Linked DNA regions of Oryctolagus cuniculus. The protein of the gene in region 1 interacts with the protein of each later gene in a pairwise test. Links are inferred from orthologs where the notes say so. Each region holds a gene or a part of one and is shown in the gene's direction. Other genes may lie near its edges.

Region 1 (4,227 bases):
GCTCAGAGTTGTGGGCTAAAGCCCTCTGAAGGTCAAGGCCTTATGGAGAACCTCTCTTCGCCCCACGTTTCCAGAGAACACCTTGGTCCTCGCTGAAAGAGCCTTGACAACAGAGTCGAAAACACTCCCTCCTCCAAAAGGAATTAAGGCCTCCTTCACACCTCCTGGGGGTAAGCTGGGGCGGGGGAGCCGGAGAATGGGCCCTGGCTGCCAGGGCTCTGCACCCCTCACCCGAGACAGACTGCTGCAGGCTCCCGCTGCTCGCTGGCGGCTCGCGGGGTGTGGGCCGGGGGCAGCGAGAAGACAGAGCGCTGCGGGAGGGGGCGGGGCAGGTCCCCACTGCCCCGCAGTCGGGCCAGCCAGGTTGGGGGCCGCGGGAGGGGGCTGGGCGGCTCGAGGCGGAGAGGGAGGTGGGGGCGGGGTCTGACCCCCCCTTCGGGCCGGGGGCCGGGGGCGGGGTCCGGGCGGGGCGGGCCCGCGCGCACTTCCTCGCCGGGGCTGGGGCCGCGCGCCCACTCGCCCACACGGTCCGTGTGCAGCCGGCAGCTCGCGCCGCCCGGCTCGGCGCGGCCCGCAGGTAGGAGGCGCCGAGGGACGCGGCTCCTGGTTCCCGGCCCCACCCGCTCCGCGCGCGTCCGGCTCCCGCCGCCAGCTGCGAGGTGAGCGCCCCGCCGACCCCGGCTCCGAACCGCAGCTGCCGGCCCCCGCCCCGGGCATGCTGCGCCCCGGAGAGCGCCCGCCGGGGCCGGACCGCTCCCCCGGCCGCCTGGAGAGGCGGGGGCCAATGCGAGTGTTGGACGGGGGAGGGGACCAAGTTTGAAATAGAAAAGCCAGAGAGACAGAGACAGACCGGGAGGGTTGGAGGAACGGAGGCTCCGGGGAAGCCCAGTGGGGCGCAGGACCGGAGGCTACGGAGATCGCTGAAGCGAGGACAGAAACTGGACGTGAACAATTACGAGGGCCTTGCGGGGAGCCCTGGAGCTTCGGCTTCGCCTCTCGCTCAGTCCGTTTGTGTGAGGGCTACAGAGCCCTTCAGAGACATGAGGCAGAGATTGCTAACGGACGGGACAGGAGAGGGGCGAGGGTCCTTTAAGAGTCACCAAAGACTTGGGTGCACACAGTTGGAAGCCCAAAGGGTTGAGGACCCCGCGGGGGAACAGCATTCGGAGGCACAGAGACCCCAGAGGAGCACAAAGACAGCCCCCAAACCCAGGATGGAGTGGAGCCCAGCTCAGCACACACAGGGACCTGAGCTGGCTGAGACCCTGAGACACCCGGACGGGTGCCCTGGGGAAAGGAACTGAACCCAGCCCTCCCCCATAAGGCAGGGGACCCGGGCCGGTGAGATCGAGAACGAGAAGGAGCCCCACGCACTGACACGGCTGCCAGGACAGCCCCAGCTTATTTTTAAACTCAGATCTTGGGCGGGCAGCTTCAGCCGTAGGGACCTCAGGGTGAATGAACTGTTCCTGGCCCGGCCAGGCCGGTCCCAGAGCTGCTTCGGGATCCTGCTCCCCACCCCCTTGCCCCTACACTGCTTTAACTTCCCAGGCCAGATGGGAAGAGGAGGAGAGAGAGCAGTGAAGTTGGAGTTGGTAGCGGCTGGGGGGGGGGGGGAGCACCTTGATTTCTCTCCTTAAGTCTCCTGTCAACTCCTGGGGGGGGTGCTGTTCTGAGCCTGACTCACAGCTGTGGGGGTTGGCCAGGGTCCTCCTGCACAGTGGGGAAGGGGGGGGGGGGCAAAAGGGCTGAGCAGTTGGCACGGGTATTTGGAAAGGCCGCTGGGTGTCTTCCAGTGGCAGGGCTGGCAGCTGGGGAGAAGAGCCAGGCTCTGGTACAGCTCCTGTTGCTCTGCCCTTAAAAGCTGAACCACCTCCTCCAGCACCACCATGGCACTTCTAGGGAGAGGGAATGAGGAGGGGCTCCGGGACGTGGACTCTGATCCCAGATGGACCTTGGGCACACTCCTGCCCTGTCCTTGGTGTGCTCAGCTGTAAAATGGGGACGAGATTCCGCACTGCCGGCCTTCCAGGAGCTGCGCTGGAGGGTGATCTAGGGGCACTTTGTGAGGGGCAGAGCAGCAGGCAGGTGTCGCCAGCCAGGGGCCGAGTTCTGCTCCCTGGAGTCAGGCTGGCGGCGCTGCAGCCACCACTGGACCCACGGCTGTCCTCAGCCAGCCCCATGGGCCGTGGGGCCACCTGACCTCCCCATGGCCTTGTGCACGAATGTCCAGGTCACGGACGTTCCTGAGAAACTGCCGTCTGATTTCAGCCAAAGTCAAATAGCTGCCCATACTGAGTTCTGCCCATCTGCCAGGTGCTGTCCGAGGACCGGCACCCTGGGAGGTAGGAAGGGGCATGAGCTTAGTGAATTAGAAGAGAAAACCAGGCCTGGGAGCTTGAGTAACTCACCTAAGGTCATGCAGCCAGTGAGGAGCCAGTGTGCAAACCCAGGAGGTGCTGTGTGTGTGTCTGGGTCAGGTGGAGGGGTGTGTGTATTGTTGGGAGCAGAGGCTGAGAGCCATCTGGCAGGTGAAGCAGTCTCCCCAGTCCCTGCCCCCTCTCCCCGCCACCGGTCAGGAAGCATACAGGACTGGCTCTCTACAAGTCCTTTCGGTCCCCCAAGCCTTGCCAGAGAAGGACAGGCAGAGACAGGTGGGTCTTGCTGGTGTCCTTCCCTCTGCCCTCCCTCCCCAGGGCCCAGCCGGATAGATTCAGGGATTGGGGGAGTCTGGGAAGGAAACAGAAGCCACTCCCATACCCTATTTGGGGTGCCCCGTCTCAGAGTGGTGACTGCCTCCCAGGGGGCGGACCCGGGGCTAGCCAGGGCCTGGGAAGGTAGCCGCTACTGCTGCCACTGCTGGCCCAGCCAGGAAGGAAGGAAAAGGCCCCAGGCACTCCTGGAGGGACACATGGCCACTTTCCACCTGCGGGGCCCCCTGCTGCCCAGTGGCTGCCAGCCCAGGCAATCCTCAGGAGGAAACCCGAGCCTGAGTGGCCGGCAGGGGACTGAAGGAGGGCTGCCCTCCACCCTGGAGCATAACTCCGATCCCAGGAGTCCGTGCTCTGAATACCCCAGCTCCTGTCGGCCTCACACCGTGGCCTGAGGTACGAACTCGGTGTCCTCCCATGGTGTAGAAGGGAAGTCCGGAACACGGAAGCCAGCCCATCGGAGGAGTCAGGCCCTCCAGCCCTGGGGCATCTGCTGGCGCCTGGAGTCAGAGCTCCAGGCCAGAGCAGTGCTTGCTGGCGAGAATTTCCCACTGGGGCTGGCTGGGACAGGAGGGCTTTTCCTTCAGCTTGAGCCAGGGCAGGCTCTGGGGTCTGGTGGAGGGGAGTGGGGTGGTGGGTTCCTTTGTGTCTCTTGAACTTCCCCAGGCTCATCCGCAGCTGAAAGAGCATCTGTCCCCTTCCCAGGGGTCCTGGTGGTTCTTCCCTGGCACCCTGGGACCTTAGCCCTTAGAGAGCAGACTTCCTGGTGGAGGAGGCCAGGGGTGGGAAGCTCTAATCTGGGTTCTGGAGACAGGAATCACGAGCCACAGAAGGGGCTGGGAACCCCACTTCCCTACACCCTGCTCCCCACACTCCTGTTCCAGAGGCAGCTGTGTGGATGACCTCATCCCACAAACATGCTTTGTTCCTGAGAAAATGGAAAGTGTCTGAGGTTTGCTGGGGGCTGGGTGTCTGCAGCAGCGGCTCTCAGGGCTCCCCCTGGTCTTCCTCCGCACCTACGAGGGGCCCTGCCTGGGGAGAGTGGCTCCAGGGGCGCTGGGTCTCTCACCCTTCATGCCCGCCTGCCCCAACCCCGAGAAATCCAAGAAAGTGGGGCGAGGCTACCCCCACCGGAGTCAGGAGGAACGAAATCGGGACCCAGAAGAAGGGAAGCTCCTGGGGCTGTGCTGGTGCCCAGCAGGAGGTGGCAGAGGCCACACTGCTCTCTGTCCCTGGGGACCCGCAGCCGCCGCAGGCATAGCTTTTTCCTTTTTTCTCCCCTGTCGCTGGCAAATCTGACATCTGGCCATCTGTGTTGCCACAGCTGCTGCAGATGTTGCAGCCAAGGCTGCCCAGGCTGGTGTGACCAGAGACACAGCGGGGTGGAGGGGAAGGAGGGCAGAGGGCCCAGCCGGGGAAGCTCGGCCGTGTCCAACGTGCAGGATTTCCTTCCTGCTCCAGCCCAGCCTGAGCCTCTCCAGCTCTGGCTGCTCTGCTGATTCTCCTGGGACGGGAG
Region 2 (3,500 bases), on another chromosome or scaffold:
CATTCCACCCTTGAATATGTGACTTCAGAAGCAAGGGAAGGGGCTTCCTACCCCTGAAATTTCGGCCCAGAATGCTAGCTGAAGACAACATCCTTTAACAGGAGATGGGATCTTTCATTTCAGAATAAGAAAATAAGGCTTAAGCAGAAAATACACCTTGGGTGCACAGCAGTACGAGAAGACAACTGTCCAGATTTACTCAGCACTCAATACCTGGCATCTCCCTCCATCACTTCTGATGGTCTTCATTCTGCCAGCTGTAAGTTGGCTCACTAACCTGAGGGGTGTGCTGCTGTTCAGTTCTAACATGCGAATGGTCTCTGTCCCTGTCTTCCCAGGTGGACTATGATCGAGCACAGATGGTCCTCAGCCCACCACTGTCAGGGTCCGACACCTACCCCAGGGGCCCCGCCAAACTACCTCAAAGTCAAAGCAAAGGGGGCTATTCCTCCAGCAGCCACCAGTACCCATCTGGGTACCAAAAAGCCTCCCTATACCACCACCCTTCCCTGCAGACCAGCTCGCAGTACATCTCCACCGCCTCTTACCTGAGTTCTCTCAGCATCTCATCCAGCACCTACCCTCCTCCCAGCTGGGGCTCCTCCTCAGACCAGCAGCCCTCCAGGGTGTCCCACGAACAGTTTCGGGCTGCCCTGCAGCTGGTGGTCAGCCCAGGGGACCCCAGGGAGTACCTGGACAACTTTATCAAAATTGGGGAAGGGTCGACGGGCATTGTGTGCATCGCCACTGAGAAACACACAGGGAAACAAGTTGCGGTGAAGAAGATGGACCTCCGGAAGCAACAAAGGCGAGAGCTGCTTTTTAACGAGGTGAGTGATGTGTCTGGCTCACCCTTTCTCGCCTATGTAACGTTTATTTCCCATTTTAAAAAATTATACATGTACATTTTAGGACTTTAGAAAACCACTGAAAGCATTAAGATAAAAATTGCATCATCTTCCCTTCTCATCTTTTTCCATGATGTTTGGCTGTTCCCGTTATGGAGTACTTCATGCACATCAGCCACAGCAACCATAGGAGGTGGAAATACTTGATCACTGCTTCAGATAAGAGGAAACCTGTGTTCAGGCAGGTGAATGACTAGCCCAGGGTGGAACAGTAGGTTTATTGCACACCTGGAATTTGAATCCCAGTCTAGCAGATCCCAAAGCCTCATGCTACACTGTCTACAGGGGTATATGTACATTTTACACTGTTATGATATCATGCACGCAGTGTGTAGCTAAGTTTTCCTACCAATTTTTCTAATAAACAGAGGTCAGTTTACCAATGGACTATCGCTGTACAGGAACTTTAACATATTTTATGTTCTTAACTATAAAAAGAATGAGGGTAGGTGTTTGGTCTAGTGGTTAAGATGTTGATTAAGATGCTTATTCCATGTTCTGCATTAGAGTGCCTGGGTTCAGTTCCTAGTCTGCTCCCGATTCCAGCTTCCTGCCCATGCAGGCCCTGAGAGGCAGGTGATAGCTCACGTAGATGGATCCCTGCCACCCATTTGGGAGACCTGAATGGAGTTCCAAGCTCCTGACTGTCACAGGCCCTGCTGTGGCCATTGCAGGCATTTGAGGAGTGAAACAACAGATGGGAGCTCTGTCTGTCTCTCTCTCCCATTCAGTCTCCCTCACTAATAATAATAAAAAAAAAATAGTGAATTCTTCCTGTAGAAAATATGTAAAATGGAAAATATTCCACAAAATACCTAAGCATCCCACAATAGCCTACATTACTTCAGTATTTTCTTTCTATAATTTTTCTATTTACATATTTCTTGTATTTAGCATAAGGATAATTCTATATATGTGGGTTGGTAACTTCCTGATTTCACTTAATATTGATGTCATGTTAATAAAATTAATATAAAATAAGACACTAATATATAAATTATGTATCTATTAATATAAAATACATTGACATATTTTCATAACTATATGTCAAAATATTTAATAACCTAATAATCTTCTATCATGTTCATGTATCAAATTCATTAAAATGATCTCTGACTTATGTTTCCAATTTGTCACTTTAATAATCTTACAATGAGTATTATTACACTTCAGTTCTTGGCCTCATATCTGATCATTTCTTTAGTTTCCTGGAGGTAGAAGGAACAGATCAAATGATATATAAATGTCATTTTTGAGAAATTATTGATGGTGTTGATTTTCAGAAAGCTTGTATTAATTTGGACCCTCACCAACAGTCCTTTTGCACCCTCACTTGTATCCGATTGGATGCTAACATGTTGTCTCTGTTAACTTTATAGACATGGATAAATCTTACTATTTTAATTAGCCTTTTTATTATTAGAGAGGTTCAGTCCCTTTTTATAGTTATAGGTCATTTTTATTTCTTCATTAAACCATATGTCCTTTGCAGTTTTCAATTAGGATGTTAAAATTTGTCTTATTAATGTATAAGAGCTCTTGATCTATTAAGGAATTAACCCTCTTCTGTGTATTTCTTGTATATATTGTTCCCCTGCTTCATTTATCTTTAAAATCACTTGTCATTTAAGAGCTCTAAAACAGATGGGAAAGCATGAGTAACGGTGTCAGAAAACACACACATTTTGGAATATTGTCCCCTTGGTAATTTTGTGAGAGTCTTGGAGAGAGAATTGAGTGTTTGTGGGTGAGAGATCTAAGTCCTAAAGATGTCAAGTCACGATGTCAGCATTAGATAATGTCAGTCTCTCACAAGGGGTGTTCACACCTCCTAACTCCCAAAACAAGCTAGGGCCACCTGACCACTCTGGTTGTGAGATTTCATGTTCTCTCAGAAGTATGTAGGAATTGTTTGGTCCGTAAGTAGGCACTTCACAAATGTACTTGTCTGTAATTTTGGCCCCCTCTTCCATGAAGGATTCCAAGGCAGCCCTGGCGACCTCCACTCATCTCCAGCTCTAAGGACTGCTCATTTCTTAGGCACACCCTGAGTTTCATGGAGTCCCATCCTCCCAATCTACTACTCCTGATTTCTGAAATTTGTTTTCAAACCACAATTCCAGAATAGACAGGGCAATATTATATAAACAACCCTATAATTGGTTATTTTGTAAAAGATTTATTATTTATTTATTATTTATTTATTTATTCAAAAGGCAGAGCAACAGAGAGAGGGGGAAAGAGAGAGAGAGAGGCAGGGGCGGGAGAAAGATAGAACTTCCATCCATTGGTTCACACCCCAAATAGCTGTAACAGTCAGGTCTTGGCCAGGCTAAATGCAAGAGCCAGGAACTCCATCCTGGTCTCTCACATGGTAGGTGGCAGGAACCCAAGGACTTGAGCCATCTTCCACTGCCTTCCCAGACACATTAGCAAGGAGATAGATCAGAAGCAAAGCAATCAAGACTCAAACCAACACTTTAACATGGGGTTTCAGTATCAAAAGCAGTGGCTTAACTCTGTACCACAATGCTGGCCCCTGTAATTGATTATTTAACTCTAATTCTGACAAATTGACTAGAAGCTGCCACA
Region 3 (4,119 bases), on another chromosome or scaffold:
GGACCTCTCTCTCTCTCTCTCTCTCTGCCTCTCTGTAACTCTGCCTTTCAAATAAATAAATAAATCTTAAAAAGCAGGGATAATATTATAATTTTCACTGGATAGTAACAACACTCATCACCACCCTCTAGACCTCTCCATTTGAAATGGTGCTGTGGCCTAGCAGTTTAAGCTGCTGTCTGCAGTGTCAGCATCCCATGTGGGTGCTGGTTGGAGTCCCAGCTGCTCCACTTCCGATCCAGCTCTCTCCTATGGCCTGGGAAAGCAGCAGAGGATGGCCCAAGTCCTGCATGGGAGACCCAGAAGAAGCTCCAGGCTCCTGGCTTCAGATCAACCTGTCTCCGGCTTTTGCAGCCATTTAGGGAGTGAACCAACAGATGGAAGACTTCTCTCTGCTTCTGCCTCTCTGTGACTGTACTTCTCAAATAAATAAATCTTTCAAAAAAATTCATCTTTTTAAGTGTACAGCCCAACAGTTTTAATATATTTAGTGTTGTGCAACTACCACTGCTAATGCCAGAACATTTCTATGACTTCAGAAGTCATTAAGCTATCATCGTCCATCCTCCTCCCCCCAGCCCCTGGCAACCACAGATTTACCATGGCTCTATGGGTCTGCCCATGCTGGATACTGCATATCCAGAGGAATCACACACTATGTGGCTCTTTCCCTTTTATGTTTGGGAGTTTCATCTGTGTCGCAGTATGGGCCAGTACTTTATTGCTTTTCATGGCTGAATATTCCAACGTGTGGCTCTACCACATTTTGCTTATGCATCACTTAAGGGGCGTTTGGTTTGTTTCTATTTTTGGTCACTATGAATAACGCGGTTATGAACATCGAGGTACAAGTTTTTATGTGGGCATATTTTCAATTCTCTTGCATATAAACTGAGGACTGGACTAGCTGGGTCATATGCAAGCCTCCTTTCTCGAACAAAAACTTACTGACCCTGGGTGAGCCAGCTAATCCTCGGCCTGTTTCTCCCTTGGTACAACAGGGATAGCAATACCGCCTTTGTAAGGCCGTGAGAATTAACGCATTACCGCGCTTAGGACGGTGTCTGGCACTTTAAAGACAAGGGAGGGGGTCTCATCCGTGTCCCGCAGCGGGATCTCGGTTGACTCCTGCAAAATGAGCCACTCGGAGAAGCAGACCCCTGCCCGGCACGCTCCGCGCCTCCCAGGTCAGCCGTCAGGGCGGAGGACCCCGACGCCCTGGCCACCAAGCTCCCGCGCAGCGGCGCTCTGGAAGACAGCCTTGGCCGGTGAAGTCCGACACCCCGGACGCTCACCTGTACCTCCTCGCGCCACTCATTCAACCGCCGCACCGGACCCGGAAGTAGATCTCCCGGTAGCGGAAGCAGCCTTTCGAGACCGGAAGCGATTGTAAGGCAAACATGGCGTCGGCGGCGCTGGCCCTGAGGACGCGGGCGGCCGGTAATGGGACAATGTAGTCGTTGCGGAGAGATCTGGCAGGGGACCCGGGAGGTGGCAGCCAGCCCCCGCGGAGGTCCCTGGGTGCGGGATTGGGGAGTTCTGTGGCACGCCCGGTTGGAGTGGCGGCGGTGGCCGGTCACGTGCCGTATCTTGGGCGGAGCCGCGGGCTTGGGGAGTATCTGGGGAGCATTCGGCCCTCCCCTGCGTGTGGATTTCTCGCTTCTCTGGCTGTTGGTGACGTGGGCACGCCGCATTGCCTCGCTGGGCTTGCGTGGATCCCTTCATGTGTAAGAAGGAGCAGTAATATTGACACGTTGGACTTCAGAACGTTCATCTGTTCATTCAACATGTTGAGATCTAATTTGGTGCCGGACACCGGTGGGTGTTCGAAGTACCAGCGGAAAACGTGAAGACATGGTCTCCACCCTCCCGATGGCCCTTTCTAGTTTTCATTTTTTATTTATCTAGCCGGTAAATAAGCATACATATATATGACAGTTGTAAATTGTGATCGGTGCTAAGAACGTGTTTGTGTGTGTGTGTGTGTGTTTTACATTGGTCAGGAAGGCCCTAGCAGCTGATAACACCTAAAGACCTAAAAGGCCGAGACCTGTAGGAACCAGAGAATGACTTGATCCAGCTTTACATATTTGTTAAGGATTTATTTTTACTTATTTTGAAAGAGTTAACAGAGAGCAAGATCTTCCATCCACTGGTTCACTCCACACATGGCCACAATGGCCAGGGCTGAGCCAGGCTGAAGCCAGGAGCCTGGGTGACAGGGGCCCAAATACCTGGACCATCCTTCACTGCTTTCCTAGGCCATGAGCAGGGAGCTGGATCAGAAGTGGAGCGGCCGGATGGCACCCATATAGGATGCAGGCATTGCAGATGGCAGCTTTACCCACTTGGACACAACACTGGCCCCCAGTTTCACATTCTGAGAAACTATTGTGTTTATGTAACTAAGGGAGTTTTGGTAGAAATGAGGTAACCAGATGGGAAGCTGTCATATGTTGAGAGATGGTTTAGCCAAGATGGTGGTGGCCCTGAACTTGGAGGAAATGAGTGGACTTGAGATCCAGAGCTGCCGGTGCACTGGATATGTGGAGGAAGCCTGCAGGGACTCCTTGGTCTCTGAGCAGCTGGGTAGATTGTGGAGTGATTTATGTTGAGGAAGAGGATGGGAAGTACGGGTTAAGAGCGAAGATTTGTGAATGAGATAATATAGAAAAAGCAAAAGGCCAGTTCCCAAGTTAAGTAAATGAATGGATGTTTAAAGTTTTGTTTTTTTTTTTTATGATTTATTTTATTTATTTGAAAGGCAGAGCTACAGAGAGAAAGAGATCTTCTACCCGCTGGTTCACTCCCCAAATGGCTGCCATGACCAGGTCTGGGCCAGGCTGAAGCCAGTAGCCAGGAACTTCTTCCTGGTCTCCCACATGGGTGCAAGGGCCCAAGCACTTGGGCCATCTTCTGCTGTTTTCCCAAGCACGTAGGCAGGGAGCTGGATCAGAAGTGGAACAGCCAGGACTCTAACTGGCACCCATATGGGATGCTGGCATCTCAGGCGGTGGCTTTAGCGGCTTCTCCACAGCGCCAGCCCCTGTGCTAGGCCTTTAGCATGCTGTCTCTGGCCCTTTGTCCCAGCTCATCTCTTCTCATGAAAATTGCAGAAACATAGGCTTTGGGAACTCTGAATTTACATGCACCACAGATCTACAAGGCCTCTCTAAGATGCTATCCTGGTCCTTAAACCATGACTGTCTCAGCAGACCCAGGGGCAAGACCTGCCAGCCAAGGCCAGTCATACAGCAAGGACTTCCATCTGAGTTAAAATGAACTTTAGTTCACTTTCCTTTTTTAAAATAAATGCCACTGAACACTTTGGAACAAGTCTGGAGAGGTGAGATAACAAGGACATTGTGTTGGTCTTGGTTGGATCTCTAATGGACTTTTTTTTTTAGATTTGTTTGTTTGTTTGAAAGGCAGAGGAGAGACAGAGAGAGCTTCCATCCTCTGGTTCACTCCCCAAGTGCCCGCAACAGCTGGTGATGGGCCATGCTGGAACCAGGAGCCAGGATTTCCACCCAGGTCTCCTACGTGGGTGGCAGAAATTCAAGTGCTTGGGCCTTGGTCTGCTTTCCAGACGCACTGGCGGGATGCTGGATGGGAAGTGGAGGAGCCGGACTCAGTGCCGCGGTTCTAATAAGGGATGCAGGCGTCCTAAGTGCAGCTTTACCCACTGCACCACAACTGCTACCACTTGATGGACTTTGGGAAGAAAGGGTGTTGCTTTTGAAACGGCTGGGAGCCACCCCCGGACCCAGTGCGCCTTAAATATCCAATCCATCTGTGAGATGAGCAGATAGGAAAGGCAGTGGTGGTGCGGCTGAGGCGGAGCCCCTCTCCGGTGTGACCTGGGGCAGTGAGGCTGCGAGGCGGGCAGCAGCGCCCTGTCCCCTCGCTGGCCTCTCCCGCGCTGTGGTGTTTCTCTCCTCAGCAGGACTGAACGGGTCAGGGCCCAGAGCACATGATGTTTGCTCGCGTTTCCATTTCACTGCCCCCACCCCCCTCATGCAGTGCGTATGGCCTGCACAGGAAGGAATGAGTTGACCCCTGCCTTGAGAAAAGCACAAGGCCTTCCCGCACACTCAGGGAGTATTTGTGTTCTCCTCA
Region 4 (3,975 bases), about 29 Mb from region 1:
TGGACCCCTGTGGACCCCGGCCAGCAGGTGAGACTCCACGTGGGGAGGAGTGGGGGGTACCCTCGGGGCGAGGATGGGTTCCAGGGGAGGTTCATTTCCTGGGGCTGCCAGGAAAAGCTGCTACAGAGAAATCACACACGGGGCCAGTGTTCTGGCGCAGGCGCTTATAAGACCCCACCTGCGACGCTGCCATCCCATGTGGGTGCCGGTTCGAGTCCCAGCTGCTCCACTTCCTGTCCAGCTCCCTGCTAACATGCCTGGGAAAGCAGCTGAGGATGGCCCAAGTGCTTGGCCCCACACTGTGTGGGAGACCCAGAAGGAGCTCCAGGCTCTGTTTCCACTTGGCCAAGCCCCGGCAGGCACAGCCATCTGAGTTGTGAACCAGCCAATGGAAGTGCTCTCTCTCTCATTTATTTGAAAGAGAATCTCTTGGCCGGCGCCGTGGCTCACTAGGCTAATCCTCCGCCTGCGGCGCTAGCACACCGGGTTCTCGTCCCGGTTGGGGCGCTGGATTCTGTCCCGGTTGCCCCTCTTCCAGGCATGTGGCCCAGGAGTGCAGTGGAGGATGGCCCAGGTCCTTGGGCCTTGCACCCCATGGGAGACCAGGAGAAGCACCTGGCTCCTGGCTTCGGATCGGCGCAGCGCACCTGCTGCAACGTGCCGGCCATGGTGGCCACTTCGGGGGTGAACCAATGGAAAAAGGAAGACCTTTCTCTCTGTCTCTCTCTCTCACTGTCTAACTCTGCCTGTCAGAAAAAATAATAAATAAATAAATAAATAAAAGCACTCTTGGTGTGAGCGTTTGGCCTAGTGGTTAGGACCCGATGGAGCTCCAGGCTCCTGGCTTCAGACATTTGAAGACTGAACCAGTGGACGGAGGACCTCTCGGGGTCACCCTGGAGGGTCATGAGGACAACAGAAGAACCAGGTGAGGGTCAGAGGTCATGACCCCAGCAGTGGGGGTGCACCCAAGGGTTAGAGACCCCTGCCCAGTCCACCTAAAACCCGCAGGGCTCTGCTGGATCACGGTTGCCAGGTAACCATTGCTGGGAGACAGTTGCCAGGTCGCCACTGTTGTGTCCAGCAGAGGGCTCTCACGACCTCGCCAGGCAGGTAAGAGGGACAGGCCGGCCGCCAGTCTGCACCTGCGCTCCTGCGCCCCCCTCGGCCACCAGACCTGGGCCCCTGCCTGAAGCAGAAGGCCGGCGGGGGAGGGGAGTGGACAGGGAGGGGGTGGGGCGGCTGGGCTGGGCACTCTCAGGACCACCTGCCTCCTGTCTCCCTGAAGTCCGCGGGCCCCGTGTCTCTCGCAGTCCCTGGCCAGAAGGCGCCGGCTTCCATGCACGGCAGCTCCTCAGAGCCCGCGGCAGTGTGCGGGCAGAGGCTGATCCGTGCGCGGTCTCTGGTCACTTGTTCCCAGGTCTGGGAATACTTCGCGTGTCCCTTCCCAGGGGGCGGCCTCCTGCCCGCCCGTCTCACCAGGTAAAAACCTAGAGTTTGCCCCGCCGGCTGGGCAGCAGGTCCACGGCGCCCCCCGCAGGGCCAGGCCTCGCCCCCGCGAACCACACCGGGTGGTTTCAGGCTGGCGTGGCCTCCGGGGCAGCGGCGCCTGGGGCTCCTGACCCTTGGGCCCCTGCGTCCTCCGCCTGGTGGCGCTGCTCACAGTGCGTACAGGAAGTAGCCATGCAGTCCACTCAGGAACCTGGCGTGCGAGCGACGGAAGAGCCGAGGCTGCCTGGGGCTCCTCCGGCCGCGGCCAGCGCGAACCTAGGCCTCCAGAGCCCTCACCCCTGGACCCTCCTCCTCCCGCCTGCCTATTGCAGGCGCCTGCCGAAGCCCCAGATCTGCACCTGCAGGCGGGGCTCAGCCCCAGCACGGAGGCCCTCCCGAGGCCCCGCTCCCGCTCCGCCCCTCCCGCGACGTCGCCTCTCGAAGCCCCGCCCACCCCTCCCGCGGCCTCCCCCCACCTCGGCTGCCCCCACCAGGTGCACAATTCCAGGGTTCTGACCAGGACCCTCCTGCGGCCTCCCTCCGGCCACACCTCGCGACACCCCCACAGTGCTCGCAGGCCCCTGGGCGGGGCTGGAACTGGGCCCTTCCTGTCCCGGGGGGCCCCTTTGCACAACCTCCTGGACAGGACCCTGCTGGTTACTCCTCACTGTTCCCGTGTTCACAGTGCCCAGCTGGAGCCTGGGGGAGCAGCCCTGCCCGCACCCTCCCAGCTCACCCCTCCATCAGCATCCATGACGCCCACCTCCGCCCATCTTCCTCCACACCTCTCTGTGTGTGTCCCTGCATATCAGGGCAGGTCCACTTGTGTCCGTGCCTGTGTCTCTGTGTGCTTGTGTCTGAGTGTCTGTCCAAGCGTGTCTACGCATACGTGTCTGTACACGTCTGTGAGTGCCCGTGTGTCCACATGTGCCTGTGTCCCTGTGTGCCCCCGCATGTGTCCAGCTGTGTCCGTGTCATTCTGCGGCTCCCACTTGGAACTCCTCCCTAAGAAGCCTGGGCTCTGGGCACTGCTCAGCGGCGTCTTGGGGGTCCCAGCGCCCCAGAAGGACTCTTCGGAGCAGGGTGCTGGGGGGGTCTAACTGATCTGCTGCCCCATCGTCAGGCCCTGCAGGCCAGGTCCAGCGTCCACACCCGGCCCTCCTGTGTGGGGAGCTCCTAGCTTCTGCCCGCGCCCCCACCCTGCCCTGGGTGCCTGCCAGCCTCGGTTCTGGCTGCTCCAGGCCTGGCCCCATCCTCCCAGTGCCTGGAGCCGGGCAGCTCCTTCGCTGCCACTCTGGGGCAGAGGCCACGGGCACCTGCATCACCGCCATTGGGCAGGCATCCGCTGGCTGCCCAGGGATTCACTCGGGAGCAGCACCCAGGCCCCTCCCAGCCGCCCCAGCATCCCCACTGCTTGCTTTCTTTCAGACCTGCAGAAAGTCCTCTCCCCCAGCAGGCCACCCATGGACTCGCAGGCCAGGAAGTGGCCACAGGTTCCCTGACATGCTGCAAAGGTGGCACCTGGGGACCAGATCCAGGGGTCGGGCCGTGGGGCCAGGCAGCCACAGGGACGGCAGTAGCAGGCGGGGTGCCGCTCAGGATGCCCCGGTCCTCCAACCCCTGACCACGGCCTCCTTGCAGCCGACAGCCAGACCGCGCTCCTCAAGGCCAGATGGACGGGCCGGGCAAGGCAGGGCTCGCCCCGCAGAGATCCGACTCGGAGGGCACCGCGGCAGCACGGGCCGCCCGGCCCCACAGCCACCGTGGGGTTGGGAGCCGGCCCCGGGGGGAGGCCCCCACCCAGCCCCCTGGGAGACGCCTTTCCCCTGGCAGGGGGGGCCCCACGTTGCGCCCTGTCCAGAGGCTGGTCCCGCGGGCTGCCCAGAGATCCCGCAGGAGAGTGGGGGTCCCGTCTTCCCAGCGGGGCTCTCGGCCCGGTGCCCCCAAGCCAGCCGGCCGCAGCCACACCCGGTTCATCCACTGCCGGAGACCGTCCACGCGGGCCCAGCTCAGCGCCAAGAGGAAGAGGCGGTCCAGGCTGTGCCGGTGCCGGGCCAGGGCACCAGGTGACCGCTAGGCAGCCTCATGGCCAAGGGCCTCCCAGTCAGTCCCGGGAGGGCCCCCACCCCACCCCATGCCACCCCACAGCCCCAGCCTGACAGCGGCCTTTGGGTCACTCATGACATCATCATGGACATTGTGACCCCGGCCCTCCAGGCAGGCCCCGGCGCTGTGTGTGCCCCCACTCCGCCTCACTCCCCAGCCCTGCCTGCTCCTGTCACTATCACCCTCAGGCTCTGGTCAGTTGCAAGCCGCAATGAGGCAGGGGCTGGGGTGAGAGCCCGGTGCAGCTGGTCGTGGGCTGGGCTTGGCCCGACAGACGGGTGCCCCCCACCCACCAGATCCGCCCCTGCACAGGCTGGGCCCCTGGGAGACGGATGGGCAGCGGCCGAGACAAGGGGCTCCTGCCCACGCAGGGCCAAG
Region 5 (3,500 bases), on another chromosome or scaffold:
TAGGGTGGTGGGAGATGAGGGTGGGCAGTAAGGTAGAGGCCAGGTCCAGGAGAGTTTACAAATCATTCTAGGAGATCGAGTGTTATCTGGGATATTTGTAAGCTGGGGAACAAAATGATCCCGTTTTCATTTAGACAGTTTGGCCATACTATGGTGGTTGAAGTAGAAATGGTGGGAGAGAAAGCAGGGAGCTTGCACAGTAGGCTGTCACATGATCTAGGGCCTAAACTAAAGGGGACAGAACAACTCATGAGGTGGAGGAGGCCACACCTGGTGAATGAGTGACAGACTCTGGACTGTGAGAGAGGGTTTCCAGGATGACATCCAAGAGTCTGATTTGGTGAGAAGGGAATAGTGGTACCATTCTAGAAAGTGGGAGGTAGACGAGGAAAAGCAGTGAGTGGGGGCAGAGAAGATGTTGACTTCTCAGCAAATGTTTTAGGATTGGGTTGGGATGGAAAACACAAGCCTCATTCCAAGCCAAGGACTCCAACAATATGTATTTGTTTTCCTTCCAGAAGAGACTTTGGGCCTCACAAAGTGGTACCAGTGAAGGTCCACCAGCCCGAACAGTTCATCCCCAGTGAAGAGAATATGGATTTGCTCACAACATACAAACAAGATTACAACCCCTACCCTGTCTGTCGAGTGGACCCCATTAAACCTCGGGATAATAAATACCCGTGTGGTGACAAGATGGAGTGTCTGCCTACTTATAAAGGTGGGAGAACGCTTGAGAAGTGGGCTGGGGAAAGGATAGGCTGAATTGTAGACAGATCAGGAAGTATGTTTTGTATGTTCTCTTGGTGCAGGGGTCAGCAAACTCCTTCATGAAAGCCAAATCCAGCCAACAGATTGCTTTTATATGGGTCGAGAGCTAAGCATGGTTTTAAAATTTTCAAATGTTTGCCAAAAAATATATATTACTTTAAGACATGTGAAAATTACATGGAATTCAAAGTTCAGTGTTTACAAGTACATTTTATTGGAATACAGTGCATGTTATCGCTGGCAAAACTGAGTAGTTTGACAAAGACCCTATGGTCTGTAAGGCTATAGGTACTTAGTATCTAGCCTTTTACAGAAAATATTTTCTGACCCCTGCCTTAGTTCACTGTTTGAATCATATGCATTGGGGAAGTACTTCAAGTTTTAGGTGAGCTAGATTCTACTGATTCAATGACTGATTCACGCATTCACTTAGAACAATATTGAAATGTAATATACAGGAATGTATATAAATCATAGTGGTACAGGCCAATGAATTTTGGCTGAATACACCCTTATAAATAGCACCCAGATCAAGAAAATAGCATCACTACTCCCTTTCAGCCACCTTTCTCAACTGGAATATAACCATAATGCTGATTTTTAATACTTCAAAATAATTTTGCCAGTTTTGTAACATATTTTAAGTGAATTGACATAGTTTTACTTTTGACATCATTATACTTATTTATGTGTTATAATGTGTTATTTTCATACATGTGTATGTTATATTTTGTTCAAATCATGGCCCACATTTACCTCCTCAAATATTTGTTATTGCTTTGTCATGAAACATTCAAAATCTGTTTTTGAAAATTTAAAAAAATTGCATAATTATTTTTCGTTGATTATCTATTACATACCAGGCATGTGCCTAGGAACTGTGAACTGTCCTAGGCCCTCTAGTCCAGTGGGAGAGAAGGGCAGTGGAGTCCTATGGTTGGGCTACCAGTATAACAGCAGATACCCCTGAGAGCCTGGCCCCAAGATGGAGATCAGAGAATGGAGGCCAAGCTTGTCATCTGTAATGCCTCTGTTTATGATGCACACTGTTGCTCTAGGAAGACAAGTTTCAACAGTTAATTTATGTGAAACATCGGTGTACCTCTGAATGATCTTGGTGGACCTCTATCATAAGGGTTATGTTTAGTTAAGCATTTACTAATGAGGTAGGCTGGCAGCAGAGGTGGCGAAGGCTGGAGACATGTGGGAAATTTTGCTTGGAGGAGTTCTGAGCCTACCATTCTGGTGGGCCCTGCTCATATTGGAGATTCAGGGCTGTTACTAGTATAGACCTCTATGGCAATCTCCACTCTGGCCTTTTACTTTCTTACCCTAGTGTGCTCCTCTCCTAGTCATCCATAGCCACCTTCTGAAAGACAACCCTCTGGACATTCTACCCTGAAATTATCCCACCTCTGAAGACTTTGTGTACCCCAACATCCGGTCCCTCTGACTTAGTCTCTGATCTGCTTCCATCACAACAGTTCTTGGCCTTGTTGTATCCCCTAATCTGTTGGTGCCCAACCTTCTCTCCTGTGCCTGTTCTTTCCATGTAGCCTATTCCATGTTAGATCATTGCAGCTCATCTGTCACTAATGCCCTAAACTCCCTCTACCTTCCATACTTTTGTTGTTTCCCGCTGGCCAAGTCCTAGTCTTGCCTTCTTGAAGTGTACTCCTTGACATACACTTGAGCATATCTACAATCTTATCAACTAATCTTCTGTGCTTGAAACTCCTCAAATAAGCATTGTAGTATTTAGGATCAAATCCCAATCCTTACTAACTTCTAAAGCCTTGTAGGTTCTGGATTCTCCATCCCGAGCTCCTCTGCTCCAGCCTTAGGGCCTCCATTCAGTTCCCTTCCTCCATATCTTTTCTGCTTCAGGATTTTTAGCGTTGGGATTCCTTCTGCATAGATCTCTCCTGCTTTCTGTGTGTCACTTGTCCTTTAGCTAGCAGCCAAAACATCACATCGGCAGAGGCCTTCCAGGATCTCCCCTCAAGCCAGTTCAGGTGCTTAGAGCACCGTTAGAGCACCTTATCGATCCTGGAAGGACTATCCCCTGTCATCATCATTGAATAATTTGTTTTGCTTAACATTTATCTCACTGGTCAGACTATCAGCCTCAAGGGGTCAAGGATCTTCCATTCCCCAGCCCCAAGCCAATTAAATTGTCTATACTTGTGGAAACCACACACCCTTTAACCTCTATGAAATGTTGGCTTCCAAAATTGTGCCCTAATGGAAAGCCAAGACACTCTGGCGAAAAAAAAAAAAAAAAAAAAAAAAAAAAAAAAAAAAAAGAGAGAGAGAGAGAGACCTAAATGAAAGATCTCTGCAAGTGAGATCCCAGTGGAAAGAACGGGGCCATCAAAGAAGGAGGTACCTTTCTCTGAAGGGAGGAGAGAACTTCCACTTTGACTATGACCCTGTCGGAAAAAGATTGAAGTCGGCGAACCCAAAAGGCTTCCATAGCCTTGGCAACTCATGACTAGAGCCTAAGGAGATTACTGATGCCATAAACAAGAGTGTCAAATTGTTAAGTCAACAACAGGAGTCACTGTGTACTTACTGCTCATGTGGGATCTGTCCTTAATGTGTTGTCCAATGTGAAGTAATGCTATAACTAGTACTGAAACAGTATTTTACACTTTGTGTTTCTGTATGGGTGCAAACTGATGAAATCTTTACTTAATAAATACTAAATCAATCTTCTGTATATAAAG
Region 6 (4,055 bases), on another chromosome or scaffold:
GGCCTCCAAGCCCCTTCGGGTTTCTGGTGCCTGCCTGTTGGCCCTGGCTCCCTCTCATCTCCCCAGGCAGGGACTCTGTGTGCAACCCTCCTCCAAAGAAGGCCTCCCCTGTAGGGTCGGGGCTCCAGCCTCCCACACAGGGCAGGGTCGGGACACAACACCCCAGCCTCACGGTATGGCCACCCAGGCACACGAGGGCACCGGGCCGTTCATTCGCCAGCCCTGGGCAGGCACTGGCAATGAAGTCTCGCCCCAGGGGACCCAGGCCAGCCCCTCCCCCGAGGTCCTGGTGAACCTGAGTTCTGCCCCCAGGCTGGGCAGGGGGTGCTGAAGCAGAGGGCCTGAGAGAGGGCTATGCACCTGTCTCTACCTCCCGCGCAGCAGTGTCCAACGGGGTGCAGAGGTCCATGAGCTTTCCTGGGGCGTCTGAAACTCAGCAGATGCAGCAGCACACACAGCAGAAGCCTGTGGACGCTGTGGCCCACACAGGGTCCACCCCAGGGTTCCTCTCTCCCAGCCCTGCAGGATGGCTGCGTCAGGGAGGGGGCAGGGCCTTGGGGCACCTGCAGGCCGCTGCCCACCACGCTCTGCCTCATCTATGCCCAAGCCTGAGGGGCCGGGCCCCTCGCCCCAGACCTGACACCAGCCACCGAGGAACACCCATCCCGGGGCTAAAAGAGGCAGGTCCAGTGGCCAGGGACCCCAGCCAAGCCCTGGTGCCCTGGCAGGGGCCAGCTGGTCTGCAGCCTGCTGGCCAGTGGGCCCGAGTGGGGGGGCGGGAGCGCCGTGGCCTTCCTGCTGCACCTGCCCTGGCTCCGTCCGTGCGTGCAGGACTCGGGGCAGCGCCCAAAGCCCCTCGCGGGCCTCAGTTCGCCCCCACGTTCCACAGGCAGCACAACTGGTCCCCGCCTGGGAGTCCCCACGGCGGAGGCGACGGAGCTCCGAGCCCTGGCGCGAGACGCGAGACGCGAGACCCCGGACCCCGGACCCCGGACCCCGGACCCCGGCTGCCGCCCCCTCCCCGGCGCCGCGCGTGGCAGGAATACCGCGAGAGTTCGCCCCCTCCCCCCCGCCGTAAAACTGTCAAAGGTGGGAGGGGCGGAGCGCGCATGTGCGCAGCGCGGCGTGCAGCCTGCGCCGCCCGGACCCCGCGCCCCGCGCCCCCGGCCCGGCCCGGCCCGGCCCCGGCCCTGCTGGGCGCCGCAGGTCAGCGCCGGCCGCCCCCGCCTCGCCCGGCGCGGCCGCCACCCCCGCCCCGCGCCCCGCGCCGTCCCCGCCGCCGCTGCCGCCGCGCCCGGACCCCGCGCGCGCCCCGCGCCCCGCGCCGGCGCCGTCTTCCCGCCTCCTCCTCTTCGGAAAAAGTCGCCATTTTGGTTCACTGCCTTCGCCCCCCCCGCGCCGCCAGCGGCCCTTCCGGGCCAGGCCGAGGCCCGCGCCCGCGCAGGTGACAGGTGGGTGGCGAGGCCGGGCCCGGCGCGCGAGCGCAGCCGCCCTCCCCGCAGGGTCCCCGCGGGGTCCCCGCGGCCCCGCCGGGCCGGCGCCCGGCCGTGGCCGCCCCTTGCCGTCCTGGCGCCGAGGCCCGGGCGGAGGGCGGGTCTCTGCCTCCCGCGCCAAGCCGGCCCCGGGCTTGGGGGGCACTGGGGGGCACGGCCGCATCGGCGCCGCTGTCCGCGGAGGGTCGTCAGGGACGCGAGGACCCGGGCCGGCGCTGTCTGCCTTCCGCGTGCCAAGTGGGGACTTGGGAGAACTTTCCTGGCGTGAGGACCCTCCCAACGCCCAGGCCCAGGCCGCCGGCACCCCTGGGCCCTGAGCAGCGGCTATCCTGCCTTGGGGCCTCGGCCTTCGCTGACCTTAGCAGCCCCCTCCCCTCCTGTCCCGCCCGACTTAGGTAGACGCTGTTAGGGGAGGGGTCCGCTCTTCACCCAGCCCTGCGCCTGCTCCAGGGTGACCCCGTGGAGGAATGGCAGGGCCGGGACAGGAAAGCCTCTTGCTAGTGGCCGCGAGGGGAGGTCAGCTGGTGGTAGCCCAGGTCTGGCTGGAGACCATGTTGCCCTGGGTGCTGCCAGAGGGGGTGTGAGTGTCCAGGGACCCTCTCAGCTTCCTTGGTTGCCTTCCGCCTGTGCCTGGGCTGCTGGCGGGGCGGGTGGGTGTTTCCTGGGTCTGGGGGCCCCGTGGGTGCTGGGCAGGGCAGCCGAAGGCATGGTCGGCCCCCAGCCTCCTCCTCCCTTTTGCGCACCCTGGCCAGCTGGGGACGAGGGTGACCCTGGACGCCTGTGGCAGGTACGGGAGAGGGGGAGGCTGTCAGAGCTGGCGAGGGTCTTGGGACAGGACTGGGTCCTGCTGCACAGAGGGTGCCTCCTGGTCCCCCTGCCACACGCTTCCTTCCTTGGCCAGGCCTGGGGCGCAGCGGGCCTCATGGCACGTCTGCCTGCTGTCCCTTGCAGAGATGACCGATCCCTTCTGTGTCGGAAGCAGCCGCCGGCTCCAGGGCCCCGGCAGGAGTGGGCCGGGGAAGGAAGGCGGCAGGAAGGAGGTCCGGCTGCCCGTGCTGCACGACGCGCCGAAGCTGGGTGAGGGTCACGGCCACCAGAAGGGCCCCTGCCCTCGGGTGGGAGCTGTGTTCACGTGGGTCCTTGTCCAGGGCTGGCCACAGCCTTCGCCCCAGTGCCTTGCTGCTGTGGGTGCGAGGCCCCCGAGGCGCCAGACACGGCTGCGCGGTGCCCTAGCCTGCGTGTGCCCTGTGCTGCAGGGATGCCGGTAGCTCGCGGTGGACAGACGGTGCCTGGCCAGGCCCCACTCTGCTTTGACCCCGGAAGTCCAGCCAGCGACAGGACGGAAGGGAAGAAAAAGGGGCGGCCGAAAGCTGAGAACCAGGCCCTCCGAGACATCCCTGTGAGCTCCCTGAGGCCCAGACTGGGCGTGTGCCCTGCCCATGGAGGCCCCTGCCCCAGGGTGTGGCCAGCCCCTCGCGCACACACACACACACACACACACGCGTCATGAGGTCCCAGTAGCCCTCAGAGTGGGCCTGGTCATGGCCACTGCTTGGGGTGCTGAATTCTCCCTGTGGTTGGTGTGCCCCCAAGTCCTATAGGCCCCCTGTGTCCTGTAGGCAGGGCCCCCGTGTCCTGTAGGCCTGGCCCCCCGTGTCCTGTAGGCCTGGGCAGGGCCCCTCGTGTCCTGTAGGCCCGGGCAGGGCTCTGAGCCCAAGTCTTGGGTTGGCAGAGGCCTGGGCCGTGGAGGGTCGGCAGCCTGACCTCTCCCCACACCCAGCTCTCCCTGATGAACCAGTGGAAAGATGAATTCAAGGCACACTCCAGGGTGAAGTGCCCAAACTCGGGGTGCTGGCTGGAGTTCCCCAGCATCTACGGGCTCAAGTACCATTACCAGCGGTGCCAGGGGGTAAGGGCCCCTGGGTTGGGAAGAGGTGGCCTGGGATGTGTGTGGGCCCTGGGCCCCGTCCCACACCTGCCCTCCCTGCCCAGGGCGCCGTCTCAGACAGGCTGGCGTTCCCTTGCCCCTTCTGTGAAGCCGCGTTCACGTCCAAGACCCAGCTGGAGAAGCACCGGATTTGGAACCACATGGACCGACCCCTGCCTGCCCCCAAGCCTGGGCCGGTCAGCCGTCCGGTTACCATCAGCCGGCCCATTGGGGTCAGCAGGCCCGTCACGGTCAGCAGGCCCGTGCCTGTTGGCAAACCTGTGCCAGTCGCCAGGCCTGTGCCAGTCGGCAAGCCCATCACGGTCAGCAGGCCCCTGCCGGTCAGCAGGCCCGTCGTGGTCAGCAAGCCAGTGACCGTCAGCAGACACACACCGCCCTGCAAGATGGCGCTGCTGACCCAGTCTGAGAACCAAGCGCCTCGCGCCAGTGGGCGGAGCAGCGGTAAGAGAAGGTACGGGCTCTCCGTGGGTGGGGCGCTCCTCGGCCGCAGCCTGGGGGGACGAGGCCCACCCTGCAGGTCCTCCTGGCCCTCAGCTCGCTGTGCCCCGCAGGGCTGCCGATGGCCTGGACGCCTGCCCCATCCCACCCAAGCAGGCGAAGCCTGAGAACGGGCA
Region 7 (3,266 bases), on another chromosome or scaffold:
ACAACTTGGGATCTTGGGAAGGCATGATTAACTCAGGCCCACATGGCTAGCTTCAAGGGGTAGGGGAGCCTTTTTTATAACATCATTCATGGTCATACAAAAGTCAACTTAAAAATTAGCTGGCTGTAGATTTATTGAATTGCAGCTCCCCCTGCGGTTGCCTTGTCAGGGCCAGACCACATGATTTTGTGGGCCTTATACTGCCCATGAGCCGGGCCTTCCCCACTCCTGCTTCAGAGGAACAAACATCTGACTCATTTCTTCATTAACGCAGGCCAAGGGGGTCCACGACCACCCAAGACCAGAGAGTAAGTCGGAGACGGAAGCTAGAAGAAGTGCCATTAAGAGACATATGGCTTCTTTCTTCCAGCCCCAGAAGAAGAGAATTCGAGACCCTGAGGTACTGGGGAGCTGGCCCAGCACTGTGCTCTGTGTCCATTTCCATAGCAGGATACACTGATAATTAATTGAAATATGAATCTCATACAGTAATTACAAAGTTACGATCTTATGTGAAAATTATCTATCTCTGACAAAACATAGTGTCGACATTGGGACAGAATCTCTAAATTTTCACTTGTTTTATTTATTTGGAAGGCAGACACCCAGAATGCTTGCAATGGCCAGGGTTATGTCAGGCCAAAAACAGAAACTGAGAATTCAACTGGCATTTCCCATGGGAGTGGCAGGAACCCAACTACTTAAGCCATCACCTGCTATCTACCAGGGGGAGCATTAGCAGAAAGATGGAATCAGGGAGTTTAGCTGGGACTCAAACCCAGGTACTCAGGTATGACACGTGGGCATCTTAAACAGCAACTTAACTGCTGTGCCAAAGCCCATCTCTGGAGAACGATTCTAATCCCTCCTTAAAAAAAAAAAAAAAAAAAACACCTTAAGGACAACAATATAGTTAGGGTGTGTGCTGACATCCAAATACATGATCCAGTTAGTGACAAAGGGATACCATAGACTCCTTGACCATGGGAGAGACACTTCAAGACCACCAATGGATGCCTCAAACTTCAGGTCACACGGAGCCCTCTATGTACTGTATGTATGTATGTATGTATGTATATATATTCATAGCTATATATATTCATATCTATAATAGAGCTTAATAGAATAATTATAATAATATGTGTTAATAAAGCTCACAAATTATTTCTGGAATTTTCCACTTAATTTTTTTGAACAGTAGTTGACTGTAGATGATTAAGGGAGGATTATGGCAGGTGCATCCTTGGGAGAATGCTTTATGTTGCTTACACAGGACCAGATAAAATTTCTTGGGGAAGTTTGATCCAGTTTGACCTTTCGACTGGAGCTTGTCAAGCAGGCAAAGTGTTAGTGTGAGCAGAATAGAAACTGACCTTATTCCAGCACTTCCTCTGTGCCACGTACTGATCTAAGAGTGTCATACATCTGATGGTTACAGAAACCCTATGATCAGGTTGCTGTTATTAAGTCCCATGCTTGAAATGAGAAGTCCAAGGCTCAGAGAGGTTGGATTAGCTCAATTAGTGAGGGGCAGAATAAGGACTTGAACCCAGGACTGTGTGGCTCCTGAGTCTGCCCTCTTATGCAGACAATATGGATGAGAACAGGGTCATTTGCTTCTCCAACCCAAATGCCTGGCTGCCAGGGACCTTCCGTGTTCACTGTGTGATACTCAGGCCTGAGTCAGCTCAAGCTTATCTATCCCTAGACCATGGGCCCAAATCCTGTACCTGAGCAGTTCTGTCCACACCACTGGGAAGTTGGGTTTTATTTATGTGATTGGCTACTGTTACAGGAGGGATGTGCAAACAATTTATATATTGTATGTCTGTATCATTTTTTTAGGCAGGAGAGAATCAAGACAGACGTGGAGATTTCAACACACCACCCCTGGAAAATCCAGAACTGCTCGACACAATTGCTGACCCCAGCTTCCCTATTTCAGCTCAGACTTGCCCCTCCTTCCCAAACTCTGAGGCTTACAAAGCCACCTGTGACCTTGCCACCTTTCAAGGAGACATAATGCCACCCTTTCACAAGTACCCAACCCCAAGAATCTATTTGTCCAGGCCAACTTGTAGGTATGAATTGGCAGGCCCTGGTTACACAAATTCGAACCTATATCCTACCTTGTATACAGATTCCACCAGTGTCCCTAATGAAACAGAGTGGGTTCATCTGAACACACTTCAGTATGATGTCAATTCCTACAATAGCCATGAGAGAGGCTATGACTTTACCAATAAACAGCATGGCTGGAGACCAGCTCTTGGGAGACCTGACCTTGGGGAAAGAATTGACCATGGAGAGTTCCAGGCCATGGCCACTAGGCCTTATTATAACCCAGAGGTTCCCTGCAGGCATCTCACATCCCCCCCAGCAGGTGCTCCAGCCCTGCAGACCGTCATCACCACCACCACCAAAGTGTCCTACCAGGCCTTCCAGCCCCCTGCTCTGGCTTACAGTGACCATGTGCTAGAGCACTCCAGCCTTTCCAGCTGCAGCTATGTTTCTGAAAATGCTCTGATGTCCGTCCATCCAGAACCCTTGGACCCCCCAGCCAGCACCAACAGAGCGGACTCTCCTCTGACACTTCCAGGAGACTGCCGGGCCATCAGACCCACACTGGACTTCCCTCAGCAGGAGGCTCCCTCGAGAACAGACGGAGCAGACACTTGGGACGTGTGCTTGTCTGGGCTGGGCTCTGCAATGAGTTACTCGGATAGGGCGGTCCCATTATTGAGCTATGACAATGAGGACTTCTGAAAGACAATCCAGGATGCACCCAATATTGACTGGTGAACCGGCAGGCAATAGAACATGAAATGACACCTATCTTACTCTTCTTATACATAAAGAAATAGAGATTTCTTTAGCAGTCAGGATGCTGATGAGCAGAGGCAATGGCCAGCTGGGATGCTGAGATGGCACAGGGAAAGTTTGCACAGCATTTTGAGACCAGCTATGGGTGCACAGAAGTAGCTTGGGAAGGTGAGAATCTCCAAAATGAGCCAATCAGCCAACCGGAGCCCACAAAGGCTGAACACTGGCCCAAGTGCACTGAGCTTGCTGGCTGCAGCATTAGTCAGGGATCCCAGTTCTGGTTCGAAGCCAGCCTTTTCTCCACTCGACTTTATAAGGGAATTTCACCCCTCTCTATTTGGCTGTTAGAGACTATCTAAAGAACTCCAGGAAGAAATTTGCAAAATCTTATCCCCTGAGTCATTTCATAAAATTTTATTTAGCATGTAGAACCTGTTAAAATA

Evidence for each region.
Region 2: the proteins of FHL3 (region 1) and PAK5 interact in a two-hybrid assay, tested with the Homo sapiens proteins (2 studies listed by BioGRID and IntAct). The two-hybrid records come from large-scale screens. The link is inferred for Oryctolagus cuniculus from reciprocal best matches to the Homo sapiens genes FHL3 and PAK5.
Region 3: the proteins of FHL3 (region 1) and MRPL27 interact in binary tests that used the Homo sapiens proteins (3 or more experiments, as listed by UniProt). The two-hybrid records come from large-scale screens. The link is inferred for Oryctolagus cuniculus from reciprocal best matches to the Homo sapiens genes FHL3 and MRPL27.
Region 4: the proteins of FHL3 (region 1) and TTLL10 interact in binary tests that used the Homo sapiens proteins (3 or more experiments, as listed by UniProt). The two-hybrid records come from large-scale screens. The link is inferred for Oryctolagus cuniculus from reciprocal best matches to the Homo sapiens genes FHL3 and TTLL10.
Region 5: the proteins of FHL3 (region 1) and SAXO1 interact in binary tests that used the Homo sapiens proteins (3 or more experiments, as listed by UniProt). The two-hybrid records come from large-scale screens. The link is inferred for Oryctolagus cuniculus from reciprocal best matches to the Homo sapiens genes FHL3 and SAXO1.
Region 6: the proteins of FHL3 (region 1) and ZNF512B interact in binary tests that used the Homo sapiens proteins (3 or more experiments, as listed by UniProt). The two-hybrid records come from large-scale screens. The link is inferred for Oryctolagus cuniculus from reciprocal best matches to the Homo sapiens genes FHL3 and ZNF512B.
Region 7: the proteins of FHL3 (region 1) and GCM2 interact in binary tests that used the Homo sapiens proteins (3 or more experiments, as listed by UniProt). The link is inferred for Oryctolagus cuniculus from reciprocal best matches to the Homo sapiens genes FHL3 and GCM2.

The regions. Positions count from the first base shown.
Region 1 is NC_091438.1:134,803,313-134,807,539, forward strand, and holds the start of FHL3 (four and a half LIM domains protein 3), read left to right. Parts: upstream 1-1,427; 5' UTR 1,428-2,209; coding exon 2,210-2,654; intron 2,655-2,766; exon of another isoform or gene 2,767-3,107; intron 3,108-4,227. UniProt on the Homo sapiens protein: Recruited by SOX15 to FOXK1 promoters where it acts as a transcriptional coactivator of FOXK1.
Region 2 is NC_091442.1:34,493,238-34,496,737, reverse strand, and holds part of PAK5 (serine/threonine-protein kinase PAK 5), read left to right. Parts: intron 1-338; coding exon 339-830; exon of another isoform or gene 831-1,061; intron 1,062-3,500.
Region 3 is NC_091448.1:26,292,418-26,296,536, reverse strand, and holds the start of MRPL27 (large ribosomal subunit protein bL27m), read left to right. Parts: upstream 1-1,319; 5' UTR 1,320-1,400; coding exon 1,401-1,440; exon of another isoform or gene 1,441-1,723; coding exon of another isoform or gene 1,724-1,727; intron 1,728-4,119.
Region 4 is NC_091438.1:164,277,950-164,281,924, reverse strand, and holds the start of TTLL10 (inactive polyglycylase TTLL10), read left to right. Parts: upstream 1-1,175; 5' UTR 1,176-1,339; coding exon 1,340-1,482; intron 1,483-2,919; exon of another isoform or gene 2,920-2,994; coding exon of another isoform or gene 2,995-3,005; intron 3,006-3,132; coding exon 3,133-3,557; intron 3,558-3,630; exon of another isoform or gene 3,631-3,825; intron 3,826-3,909; coding exon 3,910-3,975. UniProt on the Homo sapiens protein: Inactive polyglycylase.
Region 5 is NC_091432.1:181,871,670-181,875,169, reverse strand, and holds part of SAXO1 (stabilizer of axonemal microtubules 1), read left to right. Parts: intron 1-518; coding exon 519-721; intron 722-3,500. UniProt on the Homo sapiens protein: May play a role in the regulation of cilium length. Stabilizes microtubules at low temperature.
Region 6 is NC_091442.1:208,714-212,768, forward strand, and holds the start of ZNF512B (zinc finger protein 512B), read left to right. Parts: upstream 1-1,255; 5' UTR 1,256-1,451; intron 1,452-2,444; 5' UTR 2,445-2,446; coding exon 2,447-2,570; intron 2,571-2,749; coding exon 2,750-2,892; intron 2,893-3,225; coding exon 3,226-3,402; intron 3,403-3,485; coding exon 3,486-3,892; intron 3,893-3,992; coding exon 3,993-4,055. UniProt on the Homo sapiens protein: Involved in transcriptional regulation by repressing gene expression. Associates with the nucleosome remodeling and histone deacetylase (NuRD) complex, which promotes transcriptional repression by histone deacetylation and nucleosome remodeling.
Region 7 is NC_091436.1:159,776,830-159,780,095, forward strand, and holds the end of GCM2 (chorion-specific transcription factor GCMb), read left to right. Parts: intron 1-274; coding exon 275-400; intron 401-1,845; coding exon 1,846-2,766; downstream 2,767-3,266. UniProt on the Homo sapiens protein: Transcription factor that binds specific sequences on gene promoters and activate their transcription. Through the regulation of gene transcription, may play a role in parathyroid gland development.